2 linked regions of the Rattus norvegicus genome follow. Each later gene encodes a partner of the first gene's protein in a complex. Links are inferred from orthologs where the notes say so. Each region holds a gene or a part of one and is shown on either strand. Other genes may lie near its edges.

Region 1 (4,037 bases):
ATAAGATTGAGGCGTGGTAGTGTACCTCACTGTAGACTACTTGCCTAACATGCACAAAGTTCTGGTTTTGCTCAGCAGCACTAGCACACATACATACAAAGTTGCCTTCTTGCGTATTTAAAGTAAAAAGGCTGTGCTGTTTCTAGGTTTGATCATCTCTAGGGCCACGGGGGCACCAGAGCACGCAGTACCTTGTAGTTGGCAGGGTCGTAAGTCAGTGCATTCCCAAGGTGTTCAAATGCCTTCTGGTAAACACCAAGCTTGAAAGAAAGCAAACCAAATAGAATTTACCTCAGCAGGGACATGTCAGTTCACAAATTGGGCAACTATACACTGAATGGTAACCTGCAGTCATTTGTAAAGTTCTTTTGGACACCCACACCCCAACCCTTGAAAATAGTAATGATAATAAAAATAAAGTAGGTAAACCAAATAAAACACAAATGTCCATGTTTGTGATTTCCTTATTCTTGTTCATTTTTCTCCTGATAAAGTTGAAGTATCTTTGGCCAGAAAACCATTTCACAAACACTCATGCTGATTGATATTAATGCTTCCTGACAGGGACTGTCCCGTTGCTCTTCCTCACAAGCCAAAGACCAGAGGACCCAGTGTTAGACTCTAGGTTCTTAAAGCAATAGTTATAAAAGCTATTTCTGAGGCATATCAGCTGAACAGGGAGACTGTACAGTGAGCAGGGTAAGACAGCTCAGAGATCTGGAGCCTCAGGTACTCAGGCCAACACAAGTGGCATCCAGGGCTAGGGAGATGGCTCAGTGGTTAAGAACACTGACTGAGGGGTTGAGGATTTAGCTCAGTGGTAGAGCGCTTGCCTAGGAATCGTAAGGCCCTGGGTTCGGTCCCCAGCTCTGAAAAAAAGAACCCCCCCCCCCAAAAAAAAGAACACTGACTGCTTTTCCAGAGGTCCTGAGTTCAAATCTCAGCAACCACATGGTGGCTCACAACCATCTGTAATGAGATCTGATGCCCTCTTCTGGTGTGTCTGAAGACAGCTACAGTGTCTACTTACATATAATAAATAAATAGGGGTTGGGGATTTAGCTCAGTGGTAGAGCGCTTGCCTAGGAAGCGCAAGGCCCTGGGTTCTGTCCCCAGCTCCGGAAAAAAAAAAAAAAAAAAAAAAGAACCAAAATAAATAAATAAATAAATAAATAATCCTTTAAAAATTAAAGAGAGAGAGAGTCCCATCCACACTTGGCAATGTTAAAGAAAGGTAGTATTTCCTCTCTAAAAACCTACCCCTTGCTGCTCTCGCCTACAGGACCTTGGATAGCAAGTGAACTGCACAAAGTGGTAAAATGTATCAGTTCTTCCCCTTTCCCCCAACAATAAGGTTAACAGCCCCAAGCCAGACAGCAGTTTCTCATATATATTCTTTCCCTATTGTATAAGAATTGCTATTACACTAAGGCTGAAAGAGAATCATGACCTGGGTGCAAATGTTAATCCCGTTAGCAATGAGTATTTAAAACAAGCCATGGTTTCTGTGTGTACTGTGACCGTTAACACAATGTTCCAAGTAGAAAAGTGAAGGCGAGCACTGTAGACAAACTTAGGCACGTCTAAGAGCAGCATGTGAATGTGCAGTCTCATTACCTGTAGGTAGAGTAATCCTAAAGTTGTGAGAAGTTCTGTATTTTCTGGAGAGAACCTGTAACACAGAGATGCTCACAAGGAAACCATTGTTATGAGACAGACCTGTAGAGCCAACACTCTTCAAAAGCAAATCAGCTCAGTCCTGGAGACAGAGAAGATCTGCTCAGCAGAAGGAAATGGGCTTGGAACCTAGACTCCTTTTTCAGAGCCCTTCTTTTGGACCAACAGCAACCTTAAAAAAACAACTGTGGAATAATTCATCACACTGAAAATAATTAAATTTTAAGCCAAGTCAGGATACAGTTACGCTAGTCTCTCTGTGGAGAACTCTGTCACTTTCCCTGTGCAGACAATGTTACTTCCTATGTCACTTAGGACTCCAAGGTCCCTGACATGTGCTTTCCAAATTAAACAAAGCACCATACTTACTAAGTTGCCAACTAAACACAGAAGGCATATATCCACCCTTGGAAAGACTTAGATACTGGATCCTGGAGTAAACACTGGCCTATTATCTGCCTTTTCAGTTTTTCTCTGATGCTTGTCGTTGTCAAAAAGCCAAAACAACAGAGTTGAGACCATCTGAACACAGGATCATTAGTTTCACCTGAAAAGCATCAAAGAGCAAGGAAATGCTCCTGCTTGTTACCCTGAGGAGGTCCAGGACTTGCACAGTCAAAGCCTATCCTGTGCCTGAGCTGGCACACACTCTCTCAGTACAGCCGAGTGTCTGTCTTACTTTCCTACAGGAAGTATCCACTTTGAGCACACCCCTTCCTACACCACATAATGAACTCGTGCTCCCCACCCTTCCCATCCCATCGGGGTCTGTCCCCTGACAGCACTCCTTTCCAAAGCCGCAGGCCATGAAGCTATCATCTCAAATACTCAGCGCTCTTATTTTCTCCTTTTGGAAGATGAGTGATTCAAGTCTGAGTAGTCACTGTCTGCACAACCTCACCAGAGTTCATGTGTACTAATTCAAATGCCACCCTGTACAGGACAAGTGTCAGGAACAGGCTTACTCTCACAGGAGCTCTTGACTTGTTTCATGGTTCCTACCGACCCACAGAAGCCTAACCTTTTGATAATGGAAATCACTGAGCTTACCAACAAACCTAAGAGATTTTTCTGACACAAAATGTGGTTATAGAAAATGCAGAAAGTAGTGCTGTGACTGACACAGCCAGGAAGCTCACCCTGTGCTGGACAAAGCTAAGAAGTAGCCAGTACTCTTTACCAGTTCAGAGTCTTAGTCTGTGAGTCATACATGTTCTATGACCGAACATGACACCTGAGCATTTTACTACAGCTGTGCTATTTAAAGGAGGCAGGTGGACCTCTCCAAGTTCCTGGCCAACCTGATCTACGTGGTGAGTTGTAGGCAGCCAAGGCTACATGCTAAGACCCTGCCTCAAAAGAAATAAGTGAAACAAGATGACACTACACAGAAAAAAAAAACCAAAATTCTAGGTGTCCCTAGAAAAGAAACTTGGGATGGGAAATTCAGTCATCCATTGTCAACAGGTTAGACTACCCTAATGGGATTTTTTAAACAAAGATCAGCAGTAAAACATGTTATGTGGCTGGAGTTGTAGCACCTGTGCTCAGGTAAGCACAGGTAAGATTCTATTTTCAGCATAAGAAACCAAAATAACTAACGCAAGATATATCGGTCTCAGGTTAATGAGCGCAAATGTCTGTTACTGAGCTGGGGTTTCTGTTCCTAATATGATCACCAGGAACAGAGGATCTGCTACAAAATATCACCCAGCCCAAGTTCTTGCTGAGTGCATGGTCCACCTACTCCTGTTGTGGCTGTTTTCTCCTACCTAATTCCAACTGCAGATTATGTGTGCAAGTATGTGTGCAGTTATTTCAAACCAGAGGTACTTACTCCATACTGAGTTACAAGTATCATCTTCCTTCAGTATGGCCTGGAACATGTTACTCAGGTTGAAGGTGAAAAAACCACACAAGGAACTAATCCCCAGCAGCTGGCCTGGGAGGCAGCTAGCCTAGAACAGCACTGTCGCAGAAGAAAGCAAGCATCTGTTCTCAAAGGTCCCATTGCTTCCAGCAGGTGTGTCAACCTGTGGCCTCTGGGCTGCATACATCCCAGCATGGCTGTCAATCTGTCCCAACGCAAAATGGCAAACATACCGAAAACATCATGGGGTGTGTGTACAAGTTTTTGTTATTCAGTGTTCTCTTCTTGAGCATGGACTCTGTGGGTGATAACTTCATGTTGCAATGTTAAAAGGGTGGACACTCTAGTCCAAGTCCAAGTGAAAAGGACACTTACTCCACTGCTTTCTTGTAGATCTCAATGGCTTTATCCAAGTCTCCCTGCAGTAAATGGATCTTCCCCAGCATAATGTAAGTCAGGTCATGCTTGTTAAGCTGGAGGGCACTGTGCA
Region 2 (4,777 bases), on another chromosome or scaffold:
ATGGAGATCTGGAAGATGCCGTAGTAATACTAACGTTACATTCATATTCATCTCATGTGAAATACTGCTCTCTCTAATAACTCGTTTCACAACTTGGTTCTGTGACAGTCTTAAAAATACTAACCAATAGCCGTTGTGAAAAGTTAATTAGTGGCTGAGATAATTGGCTAGCTATTTCCATAGTATATAAGGAAAGAACTATTTTGATAGTTTACATTGTTTTCCAAAGCCCAGTCCTCAAATCTCAGAATTTCTGCATTAAAAACCTTGTGTCATCATTAAAAAATATACATTTTTTCCTAAAGTCCGCCAGAATCACTGTATTACAATCTTTTTATATGTTTGACATTGAACTTGGAGATCTCTCTCCACACACACACACACACACACACACTCATTAAATTTCTAAATATTTTAATGCCCAATGTGCCCAAATTATACATTGCTATAGAAGTTTAGAACAACAATGATACTCTGACCACATTCTGTATGCCATGAGGCAAGCTGAAGTACTTTGCGTTCTGTTAAATTTAGTTTTAAACAGCCATAGACACTTAGCTAGTGAATGGGCATCTTCCTAACTCCAGGTCTGATTCTAAAACCTAGTCTTAACTACTATGTTATTTAGCCTTCCTGAATTCAGTATTAAGTTGAAATTGTTTCACAATCATATAGGAGCACACTTCCTCCTACACAAAGAATGCAGCTATTGGAACATGTTATTTTAACTTTCAGTATGACTGCTAACAGCATTCTATGCTAACCTAAGAAATCTCCTTTTAACTTTCAAGAAGAAAAGTGAGTGTGGAGCAGGAGGACCACGGGAGCTCTGCATTCTTGGGAGGGTTCCTCTTGTCATTATAAACCAAATCCCACAGTTCTCTCCACTGGGCAGAGCATGCTCCTAATGAGATGTTAAGTTTAAGCTTGGTTTTTAATAGGCAGTCCTTACTACCAGAAAGCTATTACAGAAACAACAGGACCAATGAGATCTTGCAGAAGAATTTCAAGGAGAAAATACCATTGCCTAGACTGGATTGTGGCCAGAGGGACAATAGTTACCTGGGTATCTGCTGAGATAACATCAAGATTCACATATTTGAATTACAGAGCTATACATCTTTCAACAGCAGTCTGCAGGGTGCCAGGACTTGAAACTCAAGAAACTATGCTGACATCAGCATACTTTACTGTAGATTTCATTGCATCAGCATAGGCAAAGTAGCCACATTTATCAAAGGGAGACAGTCTATATTGACAGCCTAGGGCACTTTAAATACTCTATACACACAGGCAAATTAAATGCCAAACTCTCAGCTTGACAATGGGATGGACTTTACTAGTAACACGAGGCAAAGGTATATGTAGTTGCATTTGAGAACCTAACTGGAAAAAGTTACACAGTTATGCACAAAAAAAAAAAAAAAGAATTAAAATTAATCAGGCCTCAAGTCTAACTTCTAATTGGTATGAAATAAAAAAAAGGGATCCCTTTTCAACAATACCTCTGGATTTCTTTGACTTTGTTAAAATGTCAGTGTCACAGAGAGGAAGATCGGGACAGCTATAAAATTCTGAAGTGGCAATGCCCATGTACAATACAAAACTTCTGAAGTATTTTGATTTGTATAGTCTCTGTATTTTATGTTACAAAATTGCTACTTTTCTTGGTTGTAATAATACTGTATTTTACTAATTTAAGATTTTCAAAATCTTAAATTAACGTTAGGGGGTCTAACTGCAGATCAATATATTATTTCTAAATAGTACTAAAGTAGGAATGTGAAGAGGAAAGAGGTGTATATATATCAGAATCTGAATAAGTATCCAACATAGGTAAATAGGTCTAAGGCTGTAAGTGCTCCCCGCCCTCCTGTTTTGAGATAGGATTTCACTCTGCATCCCTGTAGCTTTGAACATGAGATTCTCTTGTTTCAGCCCCTAAGTGCATCACACCATCACACCTGGCTTTTTTAGCTTTGTAATGTGTGCACGTTTTCTCTCTCTCTCTCTCTCTCTCTCTCTCTCTCTCTCTCTCTCTCTCTCACACACACACACACACACACACACACACACACACACACACACACACAGTCGGGAGGGTAATTATGTTGTAAAGACTTCAGAGGTCGACCCTAAGAAGCACTGAGTGCCAGGGACCATGCTCAATTCTGCTACTGAAGGACACTGCTAATAATTTAACCCTTTAGGAGAGCACTATTATGTGCGGAGCAGGTGAATCCCACACGGATCACGTTGTTCAGGCATAACACAGTCAACACAGCAAAAGGTCCTCAAGCAGCTGACCCATGAGATAGTGAGAAGGGTAAGGTTTCCTGTTGGAGAGATTGCGGTACACATCTCCAAGGATAACAGAATAACTGACACAAGTCACAAAAGGTGACAGCCGACTTCAACGATTAACCTCAGCAGAAACAAGACTACTTCATTGTTTGCTGGAACACTGGTGGAGAAGGCAGATTCGCACTTTTTCGATTGGTTAGGCAGAAGCATATTTTAATTTACCTGAAAATTGTTATCTTTTTCTTGCAGCTTTAGGAATCTGATCTGTAGTTATCAGAACGGTTGACTTCTTGACTCAAAATGCCCACAGAAGGAACTACAAGAGACAATATCTTGGAGACACATAAAGCATTTTAAGTATTTTTAAATGTTCTTTAAAAGGATGGTCACAATCGTAGACACCCAGGACTAACTACTACAATACACCCTAACCCAGAACTCTAGTGAAAGCTTACAAAGTGCCCAGAATGGGAAGAAAAATCAGAAGATGAGGGCTGGCTCAGGGAAGTCATCTTTTTCTTTGATAGTTGGGGTGGAAACTGGTTCCTTTTGGTTCCCGAAATCTAGAGTTTCTAAAGGACAGGAGGTGAAAGGACCATACTCTAGAGGAACTCGCGGAGGTGTGTCGCGTGTCCCACAGTGCAGACCTAGGGTCTGCGGGTCCTCTGGTCTGGCCGGGGTGTGGGTCAGGCAGCCTCGCCCTACAGGGAACCTCAGAGGGGCGGAGGGAAGGCTGGCCACCGCCCCACCAGCCGGAAAGGAAACCTTCTGCCAGCGGAAGCGGCCCTGGGCCTTAGCTAGTAGTCTTCTCCGAGCTCCCTCCCTGCTGTTCATCCGGCCTGGCCGGCCCCGTGGTAAGGCGTCGGGAGCACTTACCTCACTCTTCAACTCTGGAAGAGGAGGTATCCCCTGGGGCGCAGGCTGGGGCGACTACTCCCACCTCCTGGCCATGACCCTACTAGGAAGTGCCAAGCGTAACTTCCGGCGCGAGGGAGTTTTGAAGCTCTAAACTGTAGTTCTAGGTAAGTGATCAGGCGGCTCAGTGAAGAGCCTGAAAAACCAAACCTGCAGTTCCTGGGCGCGAATTAACTCGTCCAGTGTGGACTATCTGTGCACATCTTGCGTAAGTATACTTACAGGTGCAGCCCTTTCCAGATGGCTCTGCTGTTGCCTGGGGCAACGGAGGGGACCGAATGCAGGAAAAGTATACGTCAAACGGGTGACAGGAAACGCCTCCTGCCATTATCAATTATGGCTGCCTGGGCTTCAACCGTAACTTCCGACTGGGAGTTGTTTCTCTACCCGGCTGGAGGCTTTCTCTGTGGCGGAGCTAGCCAGCGGCGCCCAGTGGGCGGGAGACCGCGCGCGGCCGCGGAGGAAAGGAAAAGGGCGGGGACAGGGAAGCTGGCACCAATGTCTCGCTCTGATTGGGCGACTCCATTTGCCATGGCTCCGCCCATTCCCTCCTCCCTAGCGAATGCCCAGGCTTGTTCAAGAGGGTCGGGGCGGGGCGATTGGAGCCAGAGTGTGTGGAGGGGCGGGGCGAGTGGGGGAGGGGCGGGGGGGCGGTGGCAGGGGAGCGTCGCTCGGGGAGCGGAGGACGAGGAGGAGGAAGGAGGTGAGCGGGGATGGTGGAGTCGGGGCTCCGGACGGCAGCCTGGGGCGGGAGCAGCACAGGGGCGCCCGTGGGCCAGTCCTCTGCCTTCCTGCCTGTCCGGGGACCTGGCCAGCCGTCGGTAAGGGGAGGCCCACAGGTCCTGACAGGCGCGAGCCGCGGGGGCCGGGGCGAGGCCTGAGGGGTCGGGGCCCTGGGAGGCGCCGCGGCTGCTTTCCGGGGTGCCACGGCCCGGGGCTCCGGGGCCTCGGAGCCGCTGCCCGCGCGGGGCCAGCGGGCGGGGCACCGGGAGCAACCGGCTGCCCCTGACAGCACCGGGCCGGGCCTACTGCGGAGCGGTCGGCTGGGACAGCGCCGGGGCGCGGGCGCGGGCCCGGGGCTGCCGGTCGGTCAGTCGCGCTCCGGTTGCTCCCGGCTCTCGGCGCCTCCGGGCCGGGACTGCGGGGCTGCCCGGGTCGTGCGGACGTTTGGCGCCGGGCGGGCGGGCGGACCGGCGGGCGGGCGGGCGGGCGCGGCCGTGGTTATGTGGGGCTATGAGGCTGTGGAGCTGTGGGGCTGTGGGGTGGGGTCGCTGCACCTCCTCCCCAAAGTCCTTGGCTCTGGGCGGTCTCCTCCCCACAGACCGACCCTGCGGGGAGATCGGCGGATCGGCGTTGGGTGTGTTGCGGAGTGAAAGGAGTTGTGGCCGCCGAGACCGCCCTGCTAAACACGCCTGATGGCAATCTCCGCGTCGGCTTTGAGGGCTAGAGGAAAAGTAGTGTAACTCCCCGCCCCCAGCTCGGAACGCAGGAGGCTGCAGGGCAAAACGATTTTCCCCCTAGCCCCTCGGTATCCATTGTTTTGTACCATCCCCTCCCC

The links.
Region 2: the proteins of Bbs4 (region 1) and Bbip1 are in contact, whole or in part, in a cryo-EM structure (PDB 6VBV), measured with the Bos taurus proteins. The link is inferred for Rattus norvegicus from reciprocal best matches to the Homo sapiens genes BBS4 and BBIP1. Residues at the interface, in NP_001069424.1 of Bos taurus: Leu210, Leu213, Tyr236, Leu240, Ala241, Ser244, Gln247, Thr248, Ser269, Pro271, Asn274, Asn275, Met278, Phe281, Gly282, Lys284, Tyr298, Leu299, Pro301, Leu302, Asp303, Trp304, Lys305, Ile306, Tyr308, Asn309, Leu312, Leu315, Thr316, Gln318; in XP_003587939.1 of Bos taurus: Met7, Phe8, Arg9, Glu10, Val11, Leu12, Pro13, Lys14, Gln15, Gly16, Gln17, Leu18, Tyr19, Val20, Glu21, Asp22, Leu28, Lys30, Pro31.

The regions. Positions count from the first base shown.
Region 1 is NC_086026.1:68,633,266-68,637,302, forward strand, and holds part of Bbs4 (Bardet-Biedl syndrome 4 protein), read right to left. Parts: coding exon 3,923-4,037; intron 3,753-3,922; exon of another isoform or gene 3,520-3,752; coding exon of another isoform or gene 3,515-3,519; exon of another isoform or gene 1,673-3,514; coding exon 1,618-1,672; intron 261-1,617; coding exon 192-260; intron 1-191.
Region 2 is NC_086019.1:262,961,159-262,965,935, forward strand, and holds the start of Bbip1 (BBSome-interacting protein 1), read right to left. Parts: upstream 3,253-4,777; 5' UTR 3,181-3,252; intron 2,643-3,180; exon of another isoform or gene 2,621-2,642; 5' UTR 2,527-2,620; intron 1-2,526.